Linked DNA regions of Schizosaccharomyces pombe. Changing the gene in region 1 together with any one later gene gives a genetic interaction. Each region holds a gene or a part of one and is shown in the gene's direction. Other genes may lie near its edges. The genes, in order: nur1, eme1, pfd5 and cuf2.

The links.
Region 2: mutations in nur1 (region 1) and eme1 together harm fitness more than expected from each alone (negative genetic interaction), as found in Schizosaccharomyces pombe (2 studies listed by BioGRID).
Region 3: mutations in nur1 (region 1) and pfd5 together harm fitness less than expected from each alone (positive genetic interaction), as found in Schizosaccharomyces pombe (2 studies listed by BioGRID).
Region 4: mutations in nur1 (region 1) and cuf2 together harm fitness more than expected from each alone (negative genetic interaction), as found in Schizosaccharomyces pombe (2 studies listed by BioGRID).

What each region holds. Positions count from the first base shown.
Region 1 is NC_003421.2:448,669-454,455, reverse strand, and holds nur1 (protein nur1), read left to right. Parts: upstream 1-2,692; 5' UTR 2,693-3,040; coding exon 3,041-3,991; 3' UTR 3,992-4,247; downstream 4,248-5,787. Other genes in the region: DNA repair protein Rhp42, read right to left, coding at 27-2,087; SPOM_SPCC4G3.12C (ubiquitin-protein ligase E3), read right to left, coding at 4,727-5,787. UniProt on the Schizosaccharomyces pombe protein: Has a role in meiosis.
Region 2 is NC_003424.3:3,294,787-3,302,756, reverse strand, and holds eme1 (Holliday junction resolvase subunit Eme1), read left to right. Parts: upstream 1-2,843; 5' UTR 2,844-2,889; coding exon 2,890-2,976; exon of another isoform or gene 2,977-3,032; coding exon 3,033-3,124; exon of another isoform or gene 3,125-3,208; coding exon 3,209-5,237; 3' UTR 5,238-5,415; downstream 5,416-7,970. Other genes in the region: glycerophosphoryl diester phosphodiesterase Gde1, read right to left, coding at 5,416-7,970. UniProt on the Schizosaccharomyces pombe protein: Interacts with mus81 to form a DNA structure-specific endonuclease with substrate preference for branched DNA structures with a 5'-end at the branch nick. Typical substrates include 3'-flap structures, D-loops, replication forks and nicked Holliday junctions.
Region 3 is NC_003423.3:4,025,088-4,030,963, forward strand, and holds pfd5 (prefoldin subunit 5), read left to right. Parts: upstream 1-2,318; 5' UTR 2,319-2,330; coding exon 2,331-2,517; exon of another isoform or gene 2,518-2,571; coding exon 2,572-2,681; exon of another isoform or gene 2,682-2,724; coding exon 2,725-2,830; exon of another isoform or gene 2,831-2,895; coding exon 2,896-2,957; 3' UTR 2,958-3,029; coding exon of another isoform or gene 3,030-3,218; 3' UTR 3,219-3,259; coding exon of another isoform or gene 3,260-4,003; 3' UTR 4,004-4,056; downstream 4,057-5,876. Other genes in the region: SPOM_SPBC215.01 (GTPase-activating protein), read left to right, coding at 1-1,989; COP9/signalosome complex subunit Csn1, read right to left, coding at 3,030-3,218, 3,260-4,003, 4,078-4,352, 4,412-4,472; heterotrimeric G protein gamma subunit Git11, read left to right, coding at 5,468-5,523, 5,613-5,775. UniProt on the Schizosaccharomyces pombe protein: Binds specifically to cytosolic chaperonin (c-CPN) and transfers target proteins to it. Binds to nascent polypeptide chain and promotes folding in an environment in which there are many competing pathways for nonnative proteins.
Region 4 is NC_003421.2:1,528,983-1,533,815, forward strand, and holds cuf2 (Cu metalloregulatory transcription factor Cuf2), read left to right. Parts: upstream 1-3,143; coding exon 3,144-3,175; exon of another isoform or gene 3,176-3,225; coding exon 3,226-3,318; exon of another isoform or gene 3,319-3,362; coding exon 3,363-3,771; downstream 3,772-4,833. Other genes in the region: met10 (sulfite reductase NADPH flavoprotein subunit), read right to left, coding at 1-510; SPOM_SPCC584.03C (GTPase regulator), read right to left, coding at 4,040-4,833.

The sequences.
Region 1 (5,787 bases):
CTAAAGTGTCCGACGAAAGCCAGGAATTAAGCATATTGTTCTTCAATACGCTTTCGAATACGAAGTGCATTTAGCAAGTGTTTCCACTGCCCATAAATAATTTTTCTCTCTTTCATCTGCTGCTTCTCTATTCTGATTTTTTCACACTCAAGAAATTCTTCGTAAACCATTTGAGCCGACTCTTCAGGTACAATTATACCTGTAGTAACTGGAATCGCACGATGTTTACGAAATTCAAACCCTGTAACTGCATCCGCATAATCAATGTTGAGTTTCTTGGCAATTTTAGCAATTCCTCGATATGGCAAATGTGCTGCGCCCTTGGGGATCATGCTCTCAACAAAACAATCCATATTACCATAACCGTTCTTAGGAATAATACCATCTTTGATTGGAGGCGGAACATATAGCTCAGTTTGATCGGAAGAATATAGACCCTGAAGCACTGGTTCATTTGTTTCAGCAACCCGAAATTCGTGTTCACGCTTCCTGCTAATTGTGACGGCTCTCGCCTTCACCATTTTTCGAGGTTGTTCTCCTTCCTTAATTACTCGTCCTTCTTTGTGATAATTTTCAGGCGTTTTGCATATGACCACATCTTTTCGGAGATACACTTCCTCAGAGGTAGCTTTCTTACCGTTACCAAAGGTTGCTGTCTTCACAGGCTTGGCGTTAGGAAGCAATGCTTCTTCTCTTCTAAGATGTCTAATCAATACAAATTCAGGATGATTCTTAAAATCTGCAAAGCTTTTAGGTTCGCGAATGGGCACTTTACTTTCCAGTTCTTTCTCTTCATATATATCCTCTGCATCTTTATTGCGCTTTGCTAGTTGCCCAAAAATAGCCTTATAAAAATCAAAATACTTATCTGCAAAAGAAACGTGTCGAATTTTCTTAAGCCTACTTGATTGGTAATCTGTATACCTCAAAGTTACATCTTTTGCGTATAAATCGTTATCATATGCAGCAACAATACCCATTCGTAGATGTTTTGACTCTGCATACGCTCCTTTGGGTTCAAACCAAGTCATATCGTTGGTATATACCCCATTCAAGACAACCGCATCTACCGCAATCCATTTCTTCTCACTTTGATCATAGATTTCCGTCCAAAAAATAGGATAGCGGAGGTCGTCATCTATAGATGTACTAGTTTCTTCAGGGAGGATATGTGGAGACCAATCATCATAGGAAGCAGTAGAAAATGTCAAAGGTTGAAGAGAAAATATAAGTCTTGCTTTCAGATTCAGAGATCGACAGAGAGCAGTAAATCCCTGTGCCGCCAAATCCCGGCTTCCTTTTAGCGAAAGTAAGGATGCTTGGTATTCATGAAAGTTATGAAATATTTCTGGCGAAAAGCCGATATCAAATCCTTGTTTCAAAGTACGATACCCCAACTTCCGAAGCCCATGACTCTCAATTTTAAAAGATTTATTCCACCACATCCGAAGCCCATTTAACAATTTTAACAAATCCTCGTGCGTCTGGCTACTACAAACCCACGCCTCCACTACGGACGGTTGCTTTTCGACAAGCAAATCGCGCAGCCCATCAAGAAGTAAGGAATTCATTAACCAGCGATTCCTTACTGACCCATGGTACAACAAGCAAGTAAAGTGCATAATGTGAATAGATAATCGAATGCTTTTATCCATTGCACTAGAAGAGCCTTTCTTCGATTCTTTTGTAAGTTGAGGAGTGATATGCTGTGTGACTATGTGTAAATCTTTTTTATCTTCTTGTTTATTAGGAGAAAGATCAACTTGTTCCCAAGTGTCAAAATCGTCGTCAAACTCGTCATCTTCTGAGCTGCCTAACTTCTCATTGTCTTCATCGGAACCTTTTTCGGATGAAGATGCGCTCCTTTGAAGTGAGTTTAACGCTGATATATTGTCATCTAAACTCTCAGAAGGAGGTTCCGCTGAGGAAGACAAACTTGGCTTTTTCGACTGGCTACGAGTTTGACGGTGAGTTGAAGATACAACAGTTTCCTCTTTCACTTCAGGATTAAGAGGTAAGTTATTGGTCCGTGTCCTACGTTTCCTTCCGCGAACAGAGTTCTTGGATGCTTTGCGTTTGGGTGGCATTGAGCAAAGAGTTTATGTGAATTGAATCAACTTTAGGATAATGCTTGTTTAACCGCTGGTTCAAATAATATCAATAACGATAAATTGAATAAAAAGTTGTAATCACAGCCACATCTGATATATTCTTAGTTAAAGAATTATTATTTCAAGCAATCTCTCCAACAAGAAAGCAAAATTCTAACAATGGCTGTGATGATGATTATTAAAAAGTCCTTTGAAAAAGAGGTCAGTATCAACTGCGCAAGAATGGCGAGTAGTTTGTTTGCTGAATATTATGAGCTATATTAACTACTTTTGATTTCAACCGTGAAATAAAGATTTAAAAAATTTAAATCTGAAACATAACATGAAAATAAATTATTAAATAAAAAGTTAAACCACATGCATCACTATTAATAAGAGACAATAAACATAAGTCAAAAAAAACTTCAGCCGTTAAATTTTAAGGAAATAATTCATTAATTAGTAAAACGTCAAACGAAACTGTTTAAATTTATGTCACTGATCGAGCTTATATTTCCTAAAAATAGGAATTTTAAATCGACGACTGATTTTGCACAGCAGTAGTAGTGGTAAAGTTGAAACCATCAATAACACCAATACTTAGGAACATCAACCTGCGAAAGCAAATTCTTTTTTTTTTCTTTTTTATTGCACACTTGTTTACGTACCGGATTTAAAAAGTTATCTTAATAAAAAACTTTTTATCCTTCATTGTTGCAATTGAAGTCGATAATAGCAAGCTCGACCTAGCTAATTAAAAAGCCTTTGCTACTCTAATTAATACGTAAGGTTTGAATCCTGAAACGGAGAAGTGCCCTAATTTCGTTCATTAGTATACGAATATCGGAATTTACCTTTCAGGTCCATGGTTTGTTTCATTTCTAATTCGGCGTTGTTTTATACTCAAAAAGTACACCTGAATTTCAAAACATTGCTTAAAAATCTTTTCAATGGGAAAGTTAATCCGTCGTACATCGCTGACTTCTAAAATAATCAATCTTCCGATCGATTACTTTATCTATGTTTGCGAACAATTTGACAGTGTAGAGTGGGATAAAGTATCAGATCGTTATTCGATTCCCTTTAGCTTGGCTGTCAATTTTATTTTTCTCTTAATGCGCATTTATATAAAAAGTACGCATGTACCAGTTCAACGCAACCAGCTCTTTGTGGATAAGCAGTCCATCAACACCTCTAGGTCCTGGTTTCGTGCCTTCCTATCATTTCTCTCAATTTGTTTTCTTTTCATCAGCTTTCTCAATTTCATATTTAGCACTCGATTTCAAAATAAGCTGTATAGAACTTTGCCTCAAGACAAACGCACGACGACTTCTACTCCCAATGTAAAACCAGTTTTCCAGCACTCAAATAATGATGATGGCGATGAACAAGTTTTTGAATTGAAAGTATGGAGCCCAAATCAATTTTTACTAAATTTTGCTTGCTTATTTTCTCCTGCTCATGCCTTGATTTTATGGTTTTATAGCACTTCTCTACGCGTGACTTTGTTGACTTTTCTCCTTTCGTTTACAACATTGCATTTTGTCAATAAATTTTCCTTACTGCTGAAAGATCAACAATATCTTCATCGCCAGGTATTCTTTGAGTATGATAAGAAATTTGTAGAACCTCGACTTTCGGTAGTTAAACGAGATGTTGCCATTAATACTACTCGTGGTCCCACAACCGCATCTATTGAATATTTCACACCCCGAAAACCCATAGATACCTTCCTTGAACACCGAAGTTCTTCACATGATCATCTCACTTCAACACCCCGTACCCCTATAGCGCTTCAAAGAAGAAGTGTTCATCATCTTCATGACAGCGGAATTAGTCGTGACAGCAGCTCACCATTTAAGAGATTTCCACATCTTAGTGATGGTAGTTCTCGCTTTTAATATTTGTCTGAATTACATGGTTTTTGAATGACCCACTGCATTTCCATTTATCATTGTTGTTTCTGTTAATTCCTATTTTCGAAAAGTTTTAAGTCATAACTCAATTCAGACCTGAAATAATTGTATTCATGAAGACTAATTAGGGTATCAAACACCGTCATTCTAAAAACTTTCGATGATCGACTTAGAACCAAATCCTTATAATTTAAGCTTATTCAATATGATCTCTTATTAAAATCCTTACATGATTATAAATATGAATACTCTTGTTTGTTAGAAAATATATTTAAAAGTGATAATGTGCATCAATTTTGTATCTAAACTAATATGTAAAAATCGAAGCAAAATTTCTAAAAGGAAAATAAATTATATTAAACGTGCAAACCGATTAACTAAAATGATTTTTAGAAAAAACTCAGCTTTGTAAAAAAGGCAATTGTTATTTCTAACAAAAGACGCACAACAAAACAATTCGTTTCCGTGCAGCAAGTAGAAAATTACAAAAATTTTATCAATAAGGTCATAAATGAGAAAAATGAGAAAGTCCCAAAGAGATAGTTGAACAAGGTCAAGCAGTTTTAGGTTATAGCAGCCATAAAAATGGGAAGAGCTATTATGTAGATTTCATTCACAAGCAAATAGTGCGAACAATTATTCAACAAATTTGACGGATGAAGGAAAATAAATGAGAGTGAACAAACATAGAATAAGGCCAGCTTTAATTTCAAGTCAAAATTAATTTTCCTCTTCAGCTTGTGTCGTAACCCCATGAGCCCGACATAACGGGCAGGAATTATTACCAGTGGTAAGCCACTGATCGATGCAGGCCTGATGGAAAAAATGTTTACAAGCCTGCAACTTGCGACATATGTCACCGTTAGTATAAGTTTCTAAACATATTAGACAAGAATCAGCACTAGAAAGTGAAGCATCATCGAAATATGCAAAAAGTCCGCCCGATCGTTTCACATCTTCATGAGAAGCGACTGGTTTCTTCGCTGGACCCAGGTATGTAGTAAGAGCCAACAAGTCTTCATACATGGGATTATCGCTAAACAAGCTAACTGTAGACAAAACTGGATGATGTTCTGGAAACAGACCACCAAACACATAGATAAGCCAATCACCATGGGTGCTATTAGAGAAAGTTCCCTCTGAATGCGTTTGAGTAACCATGTCGGCAGCCCCATTGGAAGCCAACGTACTAAAGTCGCTAGTATTATCATCAACAGAAAGTTGTTCCTCAAATCTATAGCTCCGTGCTAAGCTAGAACGTCTAGTTTGATTAGACAGTAAATCTCGATCAGACGGAAAATGATGGAGTCCTGTAGATAACCTTCCAGGCTGTGTGGAAAATGAGGAGGTATTATCGGTAGTCGGCTGATGAGTTTGTGACATCGAGAAATTGCCGGAGGCGTTCCTCGAAAAAACATTTGATTCAGAAGGCACTGTTGAAAACGGTCGTTGTGAATTGGAATTTGAACTATCCAATAATGAAGAAATGTAATCATCTCCAATGTGATTTTCTCCAGTTGAACCATTTACAGGTTCTTGAGCTCTTCTTAGTATACTTGAATTCCTTAAATCCACGGAAACAGTAGGTTGATTGTAGCGCGAAAACGAAGAAGTAGATTGATTACCCGAGTTGGACGTTGGAAACAAATTTCTGGAACCAGGAAAAAGATTTGCAGGGAAATCGGATACCGGCGTAAAAGCCTGGCTAAAGTCACTTCTTGTAGGTTCAGGATGTGAAAAAGTTGAATTGCTTCTCTCGAATGTAGGAGGAAGATCAGTGG
Region 2 (7,970 bases), on another chromosome or scaffold:
TAGCCCACCAATCACGAAAGAGTCAATATTTTCCACGGGCCAATCAATCCGACCATGTTGGTTCAGGCTCGATAGCCCTGATCCTCGGAAAAGCAGCGTGCAAAAGCCGCTACAATGCAAATTTCAACTTTGGATCGGGTGACATGTGACTCAGAGGGGAGACGAGGCAGAAGCAGCAGGCGAGCGCAAAAGTAAACAGAGAAACGCAGCAAGAGAAGAGAAAAAAGGAAGAGAAAGAAAAAATGAAAGAGAAGAAAAAAAGTAAATTGAAGAAAAGCATTGTATAATAACATTTAAAATGGGAGAAAAAGAAAGATCAATAGAATAGAATAGTATAGAAATGCAGTAATGAATGACAAGAAACCAGGGAGCATCAGACATGTTCAGTAAATAATTCCAATAAAAGATAAGTAAAAGAAATTTGTCTGAGTGCAAAAGAATATTTCAAGATGTTGTAAGAAGGATTATTTTGTTTATTTTGTTTTTGTTTTATTTTATTTTCTTTTTCTTTTTCTTTTTGTTTTTCTCTTTCTCCTTCTCTTTCTTCTTTTCTTTTCATCGCTTCCTCTCATCTAAAACTTTGATCCGACTGATAGCTTGGAATCCATCGTATTGCATTACACCACACTATACAACGCTATATCCTTCGATGGATTATCTGGTCTTAGTCTTAGTCTTAGTCTTTATCCTAGTTATTGGTGCCTGCCCTAGCCCAGACAGAGATTTGAAGAATGGGGGTTAGGATCCTTGATGCCCCCAGTAGACAAAGAGCAGTATAGCAATGACAATGACAATAGCGATAACAATAAAATAGCGATAGTTTAGTAAAGAACTGTTAAATAGTAATAGTAATAGCAAATACAATTTCTATTTGAATCGCTGTCTTTGTCTACATTCGTTTTTTGCTCATGTTCCTTCATCTCCTGTGTTCATGCTTCCGTACGAAAAGACCTGCAACGCTTCCGGCCCATCGGACGCTGCATTTTACTTTTTTAGATGGAGCTCTGATCGTCCATCTCTCCCATTCCTCCCGGCTACTAAACCCGGAGTTAAGATAAAGGTGCGCCTGCTATCCGAAGAAAATAAACTCTGCGTAACCGAAGCAACAATGGTCGTGGTAGCAAAAGGAGTATAGGGTGAAAAGAGAAAAAGATAAAAGAGAGAAGAGAGGAGAGGCGAGAAAGGAAACAAGAATTATAATTAAAAAAAAAAAAAAAAGAAAAAAAGAGATTTTCTCTTAAGAATCAAAACATACTGAATGCAATTGTTTTGCCGAATACTACGATTTTTGACGTATTGCACTTTTTTTGGCTTATTGCTGGATCAACATGTATAAGAGTCTATTTAAAGGATTTCCGTTGTAAAAATACAACTTATCACACTCACACGTTGACACTAAGAGAAAAAAGCTATAGCGAACAATGATACACACACATATACATACGCTGTTGCTATTCACATACGCTGCCTTGATACACACTGTCTTGACTATAAGGAAAAAAGGTTTGGCTTGGTCACAAGTAAAATGTAGCGATGACTTTCGTACTCTACTAATGATTGTTTAGTGAAGAATGATAAAAGATAGTAGTGTGTATTGATTATACTTGTATAATGCAGTTGAATTTACTATGAATAATTTGGAAATTTCGCACAACTCGTTGGTCCTCTTAAAAAAGGAGAAATTTCAGTTTGCGAATATTGGTTTCTCTCTCTCTTTACTTTGCTTTGCTTTGATCTGCTCTACTATACTCTACACCCTTGCCTTTCTGCTTTCTTTGTTTGGTTGCAAAATTCACAGATCGCAATGAAAAAATGTTTTAAACTGCGAACTAATAAGTAGAATTGATTTTGCAATGAAAAGTAAAATTAAATTAAATAGAAAAAGAAAATTTTAAAAAGAGACAAAGAAGAGTAAGGAAAAAAAAGCCCCCCCCCCCCCCCCCCCGAAAAAAAAAGAAAAACAATGTATTCATGGTAAAAACAAAAAAAGTTTTTACTCATCATTCATTGTATCGTTGATCAATTAAAGAATACAAAAAAAAAGTAAGCATAAACCCATTTGGAAACATTGCATCAAAGGATTTTTCATTTTCATTTTCATTTTTATTTTGTTTTATTTTATTTTATTTTATTTTTTTGTTTACCATCATTGATGAAACAGACTAATGAAAAAGAAACTCTAGTACATTTTTATTTTTATTTTTATACTATTGAGCTTTAAATATTAGAGTATTTTATTCTATTGAATTTGAATTGAATTTATTTTAATTTTGGTTAAATTAATTGATTTTCTTTTCTTTGAAATTTTTATTTTATTCAATCTTTTTACACTTTCTAACGTACTACCAAAGTCCCTAAATACCGTATCGCCCTTCTACCTAAAATTCTTTCAAAATGACACACTAAACCACAGTATTTGCAAAAGAAATACTCACCCATCCCACTCATTGATTTCAATAATCTTCAATTCTCAAACACAAAACGACATCCTTTCAACTACTTCTAAAAGAATAAATATTTTCCTTTTTTTATACTATTCATCTTATCTAAACTCCTCCTGCATCCATTTCTCTTCTCCATTTTTTACCCATCTCTCACCTAACCTATATATACTTATATGTAAACAAACCTACTACTCTCTATACTTTCCATACCAAATATCCTCAAACATCCACGCAAACCTCCAATCTTTTTAATTATTCAAACTCTTTAATACCATTCCTATCTAAATTTTTTACTTCAAACTTTTTTTTTTTTTTCTCATTTCTTTTCGCTCTATTTCTGTCACCAACTCTCGTTCCCTGCCGGCTCCTTGTGTACACTTTGCCCTACCTGTCCTAACCACCAAACCCTCTATTGTTCGGAAAACAAACACTACACATGCATTGAATGACTCTGCAGTCTACAGATTCCGCTATTGTGATCGATTCTGAAGCTGATGTTGACATTTCAAGCTCACAAGCTTCTCCTTCCAAGGTTTGTCGCGTATTTCCCTTTCTTTCTGTTCGCTTTTTTTTTAACCCTCTTTTTAGGACAATATTGCTTTGTCAGAACACAATGTTATAACTGTTCTTGATACTCCTCAAAGATCTACTCAATGCGATAGTTTGCTAAAAAGTTTCAGGTAAGTTGACAAATATTGTTGCCAGCATTTCCTTCCTTTCCACACTTTTCTTCCACATCTCGCTAATCGTTCATTTGGGGTCAGTACTCCTTTAGTTTCCGGCTCCGAAGATGTTCTCCCTAGTCCCCGTGATGCCCTTAATATCACTAATAAAAAGTCGGTTACCGATAATCTTTTGCTCTCTTTAACTTCTTCAAACCAGTCAACAAACACGAATTTAAATCCTTCTTCACGCGTCGAAATCATTAATTTAAACTCTTCTCCCCCTAATTCCCTTTCCTCGCAACCAAAACACCAAGAATTTCATTTATTCCATACTCCCACCATTCCTAGGACTACACAATTGTCATCGAAAACCTCCTCTCCCATCGTTATTCCCGACGACAATGAACAAGTGGCTTCCCCTTTATCTAAAAAAGCTGCTTCTTTGACTTCTTCACCCTTAAAAGATTTCCAGTCCTCCCCGCCGCTCTCCACAGTCCTTCAAAAATCCCACTCCCTTCACGATATACTACTGGACACGAATGATGACGATCATTTCCCATTTACCCAGAGTCCGCTAACAAAAACAAAATCTTTCAACGATGCACTAACATCCTCATCCTCTATACTAAAGCCATGCATGCCATCCATCGCTAGTCCTACTTCTAATCGATTATCACATGCCCCTTCTACGCCTAATTTATTTCCTAACCAAGACAGCTCCAATACAATCGACCTCATCAATAACCGTTCCAAAACCTCCGTAGAAAATCAAGAAAGAACTTTCAATCTCACATCTGATGTGCACTTAGATAGCCCGACCTCTCCATCCAAGCATTCTTCAATTGAACCCAATACTAGTCAGGAAGATAGTTTTCAAGAACTTCCTTCTCTAAACAAACTTTCCATTCAAAGTAGAGCTTTTAAAAAAATGAGACTACCCAAAATTTCAAGGACTACCGATACGCCTCCTGCCTCTACTTCAAATTCAAATAAAAAAAATTTGGATAAATTAAAAAAAATGAGAAAATTATGCTCTAGGAGCTTGGAACCGTACGAGCTAGACTCTAATACACAACGTAAGAGGAAACGTTACGAAGATTCTTTGAAAAAATCAAAAACTTTAGATAAGGTTGACAGCTTGAATAGAAAGATGGCGAAAGAATTGGACAGAAAGAATTCAAAGGAACTTCAAAAAATTAACAAAGTTAAGAGAACCAAAGAAGAATGCCTATCTGAGATAATTCTTTTATCGCCGGATGATTGGGCTTCATCTTGGTATTCAACTGTTCGCTCTCAATTAGATTCATACAACTGCCAATTCGTTGTCAATTCAAATCAACCAAAAGACTCAATTATGTGGAAAAGGAAGGTAAACAATGTGTTTAATTCTTCTACCAACCGGTTTGAACTTAGCATAGAGCATGAACAAATCGAACCTTTTGCCCTACTACGGTTGAAATGCCGGGATTTTATAAAATACATCGAAGAGGACCAAGCTGATACTTTTTTTCATGAAATGTCTGAAAAGTTTAAAGGCTGTAAGCTAATACTGTTGCTGGAAGGCATCCCAAACTATTTTAAATCTCTGAAAGCAGAATTAAATCGTCAATATGCAGCAGCTGTTAATAGCGGTACCAGACCTTTGTTATTTGGTTCTTTATCAAAATATCAAAACTTTACTAAAGAAAAGTTAGAGAGTGAAATCGTCCGCTTCAGTTTCGAACATAGTATTCTTATAAACACTTCAAATGACGAAAAAGAAACCGCTCAATGGATAGTTTCCTTTACCGGCGACATAGCTTTATCTCGTTACAAGCACTTTTCTAAATTTTCAGCTAGAGCCTCTACTACCGAAATAGGACATGTCAAATCCGCCGATAGAATTGAAAACTCTCTAAATTTTATGTTGCGGCAAATACTACGAGTTACACCTAACATTGCTAACGCCATATGCGATCAATTTGACAGTATACCATCTTTAATTCATCATCTAAAAACTCACGGCGAGGAATCATTAACCAACGTTGTCATCCAATCTAGTATTAGTGAACGAAATTTAGGTCCGGTTTTATCGCGCCGTATATATAACACTTTCTTATGTAAAGAAGCATCCAGTGATGCACCATAGTGATCGGTCATTATTTGTATTTCATTAATTGTTATCATGATATTTTTTCCTTTTTTTTTCTATCTATGAAATTTTCTTATGATATACTTTCTTCTAACTAAAAATTAACTAATATCGGTTTCTAACTAAAGCACCTCATCTTCTATATCGTCGGTAGTATTCGTTCAAACTTTCTAGATCAATCAGATTCCAAACTTTCATCGTACTGGTTCAAGGCACGTCTAATGGCTAACACATTGTCTACAATGACAGCATCAACTCCAAAACGTACTTGGCGTCGGACATTGTCAACATCATTATTGAGAACACCATAGGTGTAGCAAGATAAACCCAATTGTTTAACTGCCTTGATCAGCCTCGGGCACATAATGAGCGGTTCACAAGCACTAACGATACCCAGAAAACTCCACTGTGAGGCAAACTTTAAAGCTTGTCTAAGCGATGCTGCACGAACGTCTGTTCGGTAAGCGGTACCTCCTTCAGTCAAAAAAAGAACAGGATTAGTCGATTTCAAAGAAAGTAAGATGCATATATCAGGATTAAAACTAGAGAAAATATACTTTCTTTTACCACCATACTTTTTGATTATCGATAGAATGGTATCCACGTAAAAGTTATAATCATAAGCTATAGGGAGCAATTTCTCTTCCTCAGCTTCACTTAGCATGGGGTACTTAAATTCCACATTAAGTCCTACGGATTGTGGAACTTCCTTCAAAACATCCTTTAAAGTTGTGAACGGTGCACAAATCGTATGACCAAGGGCATTACCCTTATATACTTTAGGCTTCAAACGTGCGTTTTCTTCAGCAAATTCACCGAAATTAACCTGTGATCCTGAAGGTGTAAATGAGGAACTGTAGGCCCTAGGACGTCTCTTCTGCTGAATGTCACTTGCATCATCTTTAATTTCTTCTGAAGGAGAGTGGGAAGCCCCTAAGAATTGCTCCAAAGTCAGCGAATGCACTTGTGCATCCGTTCCGGTTTCGTTTACGATAAAATCATGGTATACCACTGGGACCATGTCTTTAGTCATTTGCACATCTAATTCAACGTAAGAAGCACCAAGATCTGCCGCTTTTATAAACGATTGTAAAGTGTTCTCGCCAAGTTGAAGACTCAAACGATCAGGCTGATTCTTACCAAGTCCACGATGTCCGATAACCGCAACACCATTCGATTTCCCTGATTCTGATGTAGTTGTGGCAGATTTGTGTAAAGAACGCTCAGCGTCTTCCAATGCAGTGCGACTTACGTTGGAAACTGCTTCCAGCGATAAGGCAGGGGTACTTATGCCATCATTTGACGAAAATCTATCATCAACTGTCACCTTAGAAATAAGAACATCCGCATTAACATGAGCTATTGGTTTAAGAGTTTTACTCGAAAGTAATGGTAAGGGTGCCAAAGGTTTCAACGACTGCATATGATTCCCCAAATCAGATACCAGAGAAGTCAAGCAACATACAGTTCTCCCTAATATTTTATGGGATCGATTTGCTAACAAATCAATTGTAATAGTTGCTTCTTCTGTATTTCTTGTAACGAAAACCAATTCATACGGTGGAGAAGACCCGTTTACAGGTTGCGGACTATTTTCTTGTGCGGCATCATAATGCAAATGAATAGAGTCGTCGGCAATTTCATCAGGCTCCGCCAAATTCTCTAAGCAAACTTCACCGGCATTATCAAAATGGGAGCGAGGGATATCAATAATCACTGAGTTGTTTTGGCTAGAAGATGGTGTCATAGAGCCATTAGAAGCAGTAGTGTCGTTTTTACTCAACGAGTCAGTAGATTGAGACATGAAATCTACTGAAGATGGTCTACTTGCGGCAAAAGATGGAGACCGCCCTGAAACATACACAGCATCATCACCTTGAAGACTAACGCGGATTCTACCGGCCAAATCACTGATTCGAATAATGACCACTGAACGAGATAATTGTAAATCCATGGCACGTTTTCTGCTCCTCATTTCGGAACTTGAGGCTTTGATATAAAGTGTATGTAAATTAACAGGCTTATCACTCAAGGCGACTTGAGTTCTAAGTTTATCTGCTAGGTGTAAATACCCCCGAACCACAGCTTGTTCCATAGCAGTCCAACCTGAAGAATCAACTTCGTCAACCGAAGCGCCCGAGGCAACTAAAATTGAAACAATTTCGGAAAGTCCAGTAGCTGATGCAAGCATCAAAGGAGTCCATGAATTCAAAAAATCCCTTGCGCTAGGGTTTGCTCCAAGTTTGAGTAACATTTTAACACATTCCGGCCTGTTATAACGAACAGCGGTGTGTAAAGCTGTATTGCTACTAGCATCAACTTCGTTAGGATTGAATCCTGCAAGGATGAGTTCTTCTACGATCAAATCGTAATCGCCTACACAGCAAGTCAAGACCAAAGGAGGAACGGGTCCCGGCTTGGTAGAGGTTGTTTCCTTATCCTGAGCAGAAAGCAAAGCATGAAGAGCTTCAACATGATTTCCCTTAATAGCCAAAGTCAAGGGAGTGTCGTGCATTACATCGCGCCAACATGGAAGCATCCAATTCAATGGCTCAGAGTCAGGGATTGATGAAACAATTTCACAAAACTTACTGCACAATCCTGCCCAACCGAGTTTCGCAACAGAGTGCATCACACTCTGTCCCTTGCTATTTCGTTCTACAAGAAGAATCCTTGAAAGTAAACGATTAGAATGGTATGAATCCACATAAACCACTGAACAAATTTGTT
Region 3 (5,876 bases), on another chromosome or scaffold:
GGTGCTCGATATGGTTATCCCACCGATCCTCGAATCTCTAGAGAACGGGCAAAGCTACGAATGTGGAAAGAGTATTTTTTACTTTATGGTGCAAATCTTTCGTTAATCAGAGTTTCTCTCTTCTCCAAATTGGTCCGAATTGAATTGCCCAATAAACTTCGTGGTGAAATATGGGAGCTTACATCAGGCTCCATGTACTTTCGTTTAGAGAATTCAGATGAATATGATCATCTTCTTAAAGTGTATTCTGGTCAAACATCTTTTTCTTTAGAGGAAATAGAAAAGGATTTAGGTAGAAGTCTTCCAGAATATCCTGCTTATCAAAATGAAGAAGGTATCAACGCTTTGCGAAATGTTTTAGTAGCCTTTTCTTGGAAAAACCAAGAGGTTGGTTATTGTCAGGCAATGAATATTGTTGCAGCTGCTCTTTTAATTCATTGCACCGAGGAACAAACCTTTTTTCTGATGCATAAGATTTGTGAAGATTACATTCCGGGTTATTACTCAAAGACGATGTACGGCACTCTAATTGATCAACAAGTTTACGAAAGTTTGGTTCAACGCTCAATGCCTAACTTACATGCGCATTTTGTAAGCAAAGACATTCAACTTAGCATCATTTCTTTGCCGTGGTTTTTGTCGCTTTTCCTTTGCACAATGCCTTTACCGTATGCGTTTAGGTTGTTAGACTTTTTCTTTCTAGAGGGTCCAAGGGTTTTGTTTCAAATTGGAATGGCTATCCTATATGACAACGAAGCTGAAATTATGAAGGCTACAGAAGACACTATGTTGATATCAATTTTAAAAAATTATTTTTCATCATTGGGAGATAAGGCTTATAAAGATGCAACAGATAAACGCGTTGCCTCTATCACGAAGTTTCAACTTTTATTGGTAACTGCTTTCAAGAAGTTTAGCCATATAACACACTCTTTAATTGAAGATGAAAGGAAAAAACATTACGAAGGAGTTATGAATTCTATTGAGTCATTTGCAAAGAGAACACAAATTAGGAGTTTACAAAATTACGGTACATTAACACGTACGGATTTAAGTAATATTTACGACCGTTATCATGAAGTATTGTCGTCCAAACATCGAGTTGGATTAGGCAGCTCTACTGATACACGGTTGGAATTTGACGAATTTTGTATATTTTTAGCAGGAGTTACTGAATGGGCGAAAGGTTTGGATGCAGCGGCTATCAATAATTCATCATCCTTTCTTCGTCATTTGTTTTTACGATTTGACAAAAGCATGACTGGATCATTATCTTTACAGGATTTGGTGTCCGGTATTGCAGAATTGAAATTTAGGGATGTAATGCGCAATATATCTTTTATATTCGAGCTTTATGACTTTAATGGAGATGGTTTTATGGATAAACCAGACGTTTTGAAGGTTTCAGAAGCTATTCTTTGGTTAACTAGGTTTATGGGTGATGAGTATCTATCCGCAGTTAGCGAATTCATACAACGCTGCTTTCATTTTGCTGATGAAGCTAGTCCTGATGGTCATTCTGATACGTTGATTGATATAAGCGACCATATGAGCAGTACTGGTTCTGAAAACCGTTCTGTTGGTGCTAATAGTGATATCAAAGTTAGTCTTCCCACTTTTAGAATGGTTGTTTTATCAATTGGTTTATTAGAGCAATTATTTTCTGGAGGACTCGCCGACTCTATCGTTTTAGCTCCAGTCCAAGAAAAATCATCAACCACCGGAGGTTTGAGAGGTTTATTGGATTCTTTGGTAATTGATACCAATAGGATTGGTAAAACATTTCGTGGGCATAAACCCGCTTCTCGTCCAAGTACCGCAAATGGTACTAGCAATCAAAATACTACTTCTGAAATTACCACATCGGAAACTACGGCGACTGAAAAAACACCTTCAAATTCTTCAGATACCGAAGATGATGTTGGTGATGTTGTAGAAAACGATAAAGATTTGCTTCAATTTGATCCATACAAAAAAAATGATGCTTAAAAAGCTATACTTAAACTTCTAATCAATGGCACTATAATGCATCCTAACTAGTATTATTTTCCCAAATTTTGTTAATCTTCATGCTCATAATTTATTAATTATTGAAAAATCTATCATCTATATTGATATATTCTATAGCGTCCCTCTGCTCAATAACATATTCGATTCTACTTTCACTGTTTGGTATAATTCTGAATAACTGTTTAAAACAAATATTGTTTCAACCAACTAACTGATTGTATATTGAAATGGATTACCATGTACCTGTAATTTAATGCAGTGCAGCGTTGGAATTTCTACCAGTTCCTTCGTATCTTGACTGTTCTAATAGAAGCGTAATAATGGCTGAAGGTAATAAAGCGGTCGATTTGACTTCTCTCAGCTTGGAGCAATTATCAGAAGTTATAAAACAGTTAGATTCTGAGCTAGAGTATCTATCGACCTCCTATGGACAACTAGGACGTGCTCAATTGAAATTTCGTGAATGCCTGGCAAACGTTAACGATGCTGTGCGGGCTGAGAACGATGGTATAGACAAACTGAAATTTTTTTTGCATATGTTTCACTAACTATTGTCAATAGGAAAGGAGGTTTTGGTACCTTTGACTTCAAGCTTGTATGTTCCTGGAAAGCTGAATTTAGGAAACAGTAAATTGTTGGTCGATATTGGGACTGGTTATTACGTTGAAAAGGTATTTTTAATATATAAGAGATTTTTAAACCTAACGACATTAGTCCGCTGGAGAAGCTACCGAATATTATAAAAGAAAATGTGAATATCTCGCCAGCAGTATCGAGAACCTCAACAATGCCATTGACGCAAAATCAGTTCAAATTAGAGGTATGAGCATTTACAGTACAGATCAATTTTTATCTTATTATCAACAATTTGCTAATTCTCTGTAGCCGTTCAAAACATTATGCAACAAAAGGCAACAGCTACAACAGCTGCAACTAAATCTTCATAAGCTAAATAATTAATGAAATTTCAAAAAAAGTAAGTAAAGGATTAACCAATTATATGATGTGCATGCTTTTTGTTAGTTCTGTGAATCTTCCGCGGTAATGTTCGTTTGAGCGATAACTGGAGCTTCGTCGTCAGTATTTTCAGTGTTCATCGCCGCCAATGTTTGTAAGTAAAGAGCCTTGCTGTAAAGCAAACTAGTTTGCGCGATATTTTTTATGTCCTCGAAGTTTTCAGGCTCTGAAGAAGGTTCGATATAAACACGCTTATAAAGTTAGACCAATATAGCAGATTTATTATACTTACCTTTTGAAGAGAGTCCACCTTGCCATTTAATTTTTTGGCTTCGATTATTTCTAATAAATTTTTCTCAATGAAGTTCTCATCAATATGAAAATCAACTGCAATTTTGCTGAACGGCAAAGCACTGTAAGGAATTAAATAGTCAAGAAGTGAACGCTCCCGAATAAGGGAAAATAAATTTGTCAATTGAGGAGCCAGATACATGTCTAAAGAATAGTCTTGAGCATTTTGCTGTAATGTATCAAGCAAAAGACTATATTTGCGATTACATTTCGCTTGCAAACAACGTCTCAGGGAAGGGTCTAAATCTGACAAAGCATTGAACTCTTCATTTCTTTCAAGCTCTTGAATCAGACGTTTATGATCCCAGCACGCTAGTGCACAAAGTGAGATATACACTGAAATGTCAGTTTTTGTAATAATACCATCAGAGGTATCAGTTTCAACTTTTAAAAAATGAGCCAGGGCCTCTTCGTAATCACCCAAGCAAAAGTTGGCCAATCCACAGTATGCATAAATAGGACTAGTTAGCTCCATGGCTGCACTAACAGTAGACTTGGCGCGAGACCCGAAGGCTAGTACATGAGAATAATTACCAATCCAAATAGAAATTCTCATTAACTCTAAGGATAAATGAGCAATTTGTCCAGCATTTGTACAATATTCGCGAACTTTGGCATATGATCTTAAAGCACTATCAAACTGGCCCACATCAGCAAAAAAAGAAGCTAAATCTAGTTGTGCCGCCTAAAGTTGTTAGAATTGTAACAAAGGATGTAATAAAAAGTCTGTGAAGCAAAAAGTTATCTTGTAGCTCATACTCTTATAGATTCTCGTATTAAGTTGTTTTTATAGGCTTTTAGTTCCCTTCTTAATTGTTCTAGATTTTGTTTCCTATGAAAAGTAACGCTTTCAACCCATTCTACGTCCAGCTGCTCGTTTTCGAAGCAATCTTGAAACTCCTCGAATAGAGACTGGTACAACTCTAGATTATATGTCTTTTCTTTCAATTCTTTAATGGCATAATGAACACAAAAACTTCTTAACGGCTTAGAATTACGGGCGACAAACAGCGCGCGAAATATTTTGGACCATACTATGAAACTGTGAATAAAAGAATGACTTGCAAAAATGCATCAATTGAAAAACTCTTACCACCATATTCATCCAGATATCTCTTTAATTCTTCCTGATTGACTAGTAGATTTAAGCTCATAATAGAAAACTCGTAACTAGTCGGAACACTGTAGGTTATAGAATTGGCCAACTGGTTATAGGCCAGTGACGAGTACCAGATGTATAAAAGCTATAATAAGATGGTGATTTTTTCAAGTCGAAGATGTATGTAGTTAATTAGTTCTACTTTACGGAAACGAGAAAAACATATCATATTGATTTTATTTCTTTCCCCAAATTTCCAAGCAAAATCGCATCTAAAGTTAGGATATGAGTTTACTATTAATATGAGATACCAAGATTAGAACCCCATGTATTCAATAATAAAAATAAAAAATATGAAAATTGTTGCAAATATCTTTTAACTATTCCCTTGAAACAATGCTCAACTCTAATTAAAGCATTTCCTAATTGAGATTTAAAAAATAAACGAACAAATCTATAGCCAAAGAATTGTTGAAGTCTAAATAAAAAATAATAAATTTTCTTTTAAAAAAAAAGGAAACTTAAGGTGGTTGAATTTACTAATCTACTTCGAGTTATAGGAAGTTTGGTTATGTAACTTCTTTACTTAGAAAATAAGACAACGATAGTAAAGAAATTTACGAGCAGAATTCATAATTTCGTTTTAAAAATCCAATCAACATAAAGTATCTACTTTGTCCTCCCAATGACAAAATCTTTGTATCTGTCACAAGTTTATTGTTTATATGTTTTCGCATTAACAATTATTTTGTTAAGAGAAGTGTAATATATGCGTATTCTACTTGGAAAGAACAAACTAAAGAGATAAAAAAATCCTGAAAGTGAAAGGCATTTGAGTAGTGTCAAATTTACAATTGGAAAACTGCTATTCTATTTTTTTTCCTCTTTTTATATTAGGGAATATAAGGTTAAACAACATAATCAAATAACGATACTTAGTGCGCTTAGAAGCACACCTACATATATGTATGATGAAATGGTCAGGCAAGGCTATAATTTTACTTAACAGGCATTACTTATTGAAATTGTAGTTGATCGGTCCTTAAACAAATGGAAACAGAGGCTTTATTGAATGAAAAAATATCGGTTCAACAAGCAAGACAGGAGTAAGTGTTTTTACAGCAAATTTCATGACGTGAAACAAAAAATGCTTGATTTGATCTCAAAGTTTGAAAAGTTGCTAACTGAACTTTAGATTTGCTAATTATGCAAATAATATACCGGAACCAATGATGGTATCGGTTGCTCCGCCTAAAGCAAATCCGTCAGTCAGTTCGAAGACAAAGCAGCAGCAGCATTTTAAGCCTGGTAAAGCGACGAAGGATAAGGCCACTACCAAATGCTGTACTATTTCCTAATGTTTTGTGGAACGTTGTTTAAGCATCTTACGTGCACTTCCTACCGTCTGTGCTCACCTAGTAATTAACATGAAAGGAGCATTTATTGTCTATTCCTATAC
Region 4 (4,833 bases), 1.1 Mb from region 1:
GGCAGCCAATGTACTGGCCAAAGCGAGGTGAGCAGCCTCGACATTAGATTGCGAAGCGAAAACGGTGAAGTTGTTGGCGTAAGAAAAGTCTAAAACACTCACGTTATCAGCGCAATAGGTTTGTTCGAGGTAGGCCAAAGCTGCGACATGAACAACAAGAGGCTTACTAGCTCCATAGAAAGGAATAATATTAGAAAGCAAGGGGTTCAAAAGCGATAAACAGCTGGAAGGTGTCATCATGGAGTAGACACCAGGAGAAGAGATTGCTGCAGTGTAAGAGCCCAACAAGAAAGCGGAAGCGCCAGAGCGAGCCTCCAAATTGAAAAGTTCAACATTGTTGGAAAATCCGTTTCTGCGACCAGAGTTGTTCCACTGAGTCAAATAACGGTTCAAAGGAACGTGTTCCGCGTAAGAAAAGATACGGTTGGAAAGAGAATAAACAATATCTTCAATGATTTTGTGCGAAACATCGAATTTCGCAACTTGATCGGAAGAATCAGTAGCAACCATTTTGAACCAACAAATCAATGATTAAACGGAAGAAAATAATTAAAGAAATTTAAAATTTTGATTAACAAAACGTTTCAAAAAATTAAATAATATTTAATGAAAAGGAATGTTGAACCCCAAAAAAGAAACCAAAAAATCCAAATGTATGGAGAAAAGTGTCAAACCAAAATTTTTCGTTTTGACGAGCTTTCCAAAAAAAAAAAAAAAAAAGAAACAAGTATGCTTTTATTCGCTAAAAAGTTAGAAATCTGTTTCTTAATTAAGATACAGCTTTAGATTCAAAATTTCGCCAAAAAAATTAACCGTTAAACGTTTTAAAATTTTGGTGTATTTTTTTCTAGTTAAACTGTAGATATAAATGTTCAGTTGCAAATGCCTAAAATTCCTACCAAACGTGGAATTTACACCTAAGCAAAGTACTGGGATATTTAGGTATACTTGGTAAAGAGTAAAATTGAGAATTTAACAAATAAATAAACCAGTTCGGAGAGCTACTGCTTGCGTGATTGCGCTTGTGTATCACACCAATTGTTGCTACTTTAAAGCGACATAATCGCTTAATTTAAAGGTATAAACAACGTATTCTTTCAATAGCTCGTTATTCTTATTAAGGATAATGGAGGTGCTTTTTCTTACTGTAATTAAAGAATTGTTTGATGTCAGCAATACTACACTACGCTATAATACACTACGTTGCGTATCACTATATGTCACATGTTCTAATTATATATAGTACCATGTATGATACGATATTGAGATTGATCTTAATGATAATCTATCAAGATCTATATTATCTGAATAATATAAATAGAGCTACTGCTGAACCTCGTTCCTCAGTTCAGTTATAAGCTATATTAGTGATAGGTAACATTATAACTCAGTTAATACAATACCTATACTCAGTTGCTACTTATACAACCTGTGTATTGTAATATAATAGATCACAAGGAAAACTCACCGCAGTTCTACGTATCCTTAAATCAGATACCAAACTGCGTAGCTTACATTTGAAGGGATTTAACAACATAATGGAATGTAGTTGACAGATGTGACGTTGTATATCTTTGAACAGGTATACAGAGATTTACGGATACCCAGACGATAAATAACGACCGTTGGGGTTAGCAGTTTTATTCTCATCAAATTAAGAAAATGTGTGTGCAAGGTAGTTATTGTTTTTATAAGGTTTTCTAAATTTCAATACTTTTAGTAGTCTCATCTTGTAGCAATCTGATCAGAAAGACATTATCATCTTTCGCATTCTGAAAAACATGAAATAGAATGTCAAGTGAATTTGAGTAAAGAACCGCACGTATTGATGTGTTCGATTTCAGCAACGTACTTGATTTTAGAAGCTCCATTATATGATTTTAGTTTAGCTAGTTAGTTTTATCTCCAGAAAATTGACAGGTATTCAATATTTACTGATTTATTCATAGTGCGCTAAATGCATCTAAGTACTGTGCTGTAATTATGTTCATTATACCCAGTATATCAGCATCTAGCAGCAAATATACATTTATGTAAATACATTTACATTTCAAATAGTAGCATCTCCAAATCGTCACAAATTGTAGAATTTACATATCTTTTTTTAAAATACTGAACGTTCCTTAATTTGATGAAATCACTTCGTCTACATTTCTATTATGTGACAATATTTGTAGGTAGCAAATATTCAAATTGATTAAAAGATTTTTTGAAATCGAAAAAAATTGTGAGTTTAATCATACCTTTCTGAAAGAAATATTTCAATTTTTTTTAAAAAAATTTGAAGGGTCTGACAAGCCTACCTCATTTTACATTTACTTTCATTTAATTATTTTTTTAAACCTGACATTAAAACAAAGTAACTCGATATAACCCTGAAAAATAATAATCAATTAAAATAAATGAGCAATCAATAAAAAAGTTATTATGTCTTTAGGTTGCAAACTTTTAAGCTGTTTTGTAATCTGAAAATCATATATGTTATAATATAAAGTAGTATATTAACAAAATCCAGTCTTTATAGCATCTGGTACCTTTTGCAAACAAAAGTTATTTAACAAGTTTAGAGTGCAGAAAATCGCAAAACTGCTTAGAGAATTGACGCAATCATAAAAACATAGAATGAAATCGCCTCGAGGAAAAATCACAATTTGATCAGTTTGCACACTCATTAAATCAAAATTATCTTTTCTACGAAATTGTGCTCAAAAACATTGAACATAGTGATTTAATACCTTCCTATTTTGTATGTTATTGTTGGTTAGTGTCAATAAGTTGATGTATTTGTTTATCCCATAATATGTAAACAAATGTCCATAGCTAGAGCTTATAAATAATTTATGCCAGCACTCAAACTTTTGACAAACAACAAACATTGGAAATATTTAAAAGTAAAGTATATTATTTTAAAACACTTAGCTGTTCGTCTTGTCTTCTATTAATATCCGTTGTGCAATTCTTCTGGATCAGAAAGCTAAAGCAGAGACGAGGAAAAAGGAATTTGGGAAAAAGCTGTCATTTACAATTTATCAACCTAAAGGAAGAGAACGTATAAGAGGAATTTATTTAAAACGTTCCTCGACTAGCTTATTTACTCGAATCCTACTTGTCTTCTTTTCCCTTAATCACAAATACCTTCAATCATGATCATTATTGACGGTAAGAATTATGCTTGGTAAGACTTTTTGTATGGTTATAAGATAAAATTTTTAACACTTACTCTAGTGTTGTATGCCTTCGAGGTCATCGAGGCTCATCCTGCCAGCATCAAGAAAGGGCACTGATAGAAGTTCGAACTAGAGGAAGGCCGTTACTATGGTATGTCACATTGATCAGAAAAAAAATATTAACTTGAAATTCAGCAAAAAATGCAGAGCCATAAAACAACAACTTAAGAGTAATTTAAAATGCGTTTGTCATTTGCAGCCTTTTCTACCCTTCGCCAATGAGTATCAGGAGTTATTAAATTTCACTCAGAAAAACCCAATATTGGCTAGCCTTTTTTTGTTTTCAACCGACAAAGATATTATGAATTCTTCTTTAAATCCTGCAAGTCAAGCCTACACCTTCGATTTAGGAAGAACACTACCCATCAGTGAAGATATATTAGGATATAGGAAACCTCTTTCACTAACAGATGCTTCTAATCGCATTGATGCAAGTCAATTGAATGAAAAAGAAAACGATTCTTTTACCATAAACCAAGAGGCCGATATTTTCAATTTCGCAAAGTACTTACATTCCAAAGACGATATATCCGGAATCCCTTGAATTCACAACTTTCGTTATTATTCCAAATAGCGACAAATGAAGGTTATTGTCATATCATATGTATAAGTACTCTCACATAAAGTATTCAATCATAAAAAGATGAAGTAATTTGAATGTTTTGGTCGTCTAAAAAGGTGCATATAACATTAGAGAAATCTATGTATTCAAATTTACTGGGGATCAAACACCATTTCAAGGATTTCCCATGGGAAGTGAAATTTAGAATAGTTGTGTATTGAATAGCGTCAATATTACTCTGATAAAGTTTTCACGGGTTTTTCTTTTCTTTTTCCACATTTAATTTAGCCTGGCAGTTGATAACTTTCGACGATGATTCAGGCTCGGAATGAGGAATAACAGAAGGGTTTTCTTTTAATTTAATCACAGAATCCTTTGAAATGAGGTCCTCCTGAGGAAGTAAATTGGACTTCCGGACAGAAGGGCTAGCCATCAATAAAGCTGAATCCTCTTCATCAACATTTTTCGTTTGACGTGTTGAAACTTCAGGGGTAACAAGAGGTATGTTTTTAATATTCCATGGTGACAGAAACGTTGGTGTCGCAAAAATTCCAGAATGTCTGGAGGAGGATACTGAACCTGGACTGGCGCTTAGTTCACTTCGATTTTCTAAGGCATTATATGAAGCCGGATCTCGGGGCCTCTCTCTTCCTTGATAATCTTTAAGATACAATGCAATTTGTTCGTCAGGTAATTGTAAAACTGATTCTTGGGTAGTACTTTCGAGCGCGCATAATCTAATCAAATACTCCAGTAAAGTTAAATTAGGTTGATCTTTTATAGTCGATGGAAAGGAAGACTTTTTCTTTGCAACGGATTCTTGTTTTTTGATGCCTAAAAGCTGTAGCCTAGCAGCTTCAGAATCACTAAGAGATTCTGCAAGTTCATCAGATTCGTCTAATGATTCATTAGGTATTGATACCAAAGGAAGTGCTTCTAAAGCTATCCAGTTCGAAGGTGCTGTATTTGAAGAATACTCTGTTTCATCATCTGCATACTTGAGTAATAATACGGGAGTTTGTACATCATCTAACCGAAGAAGTT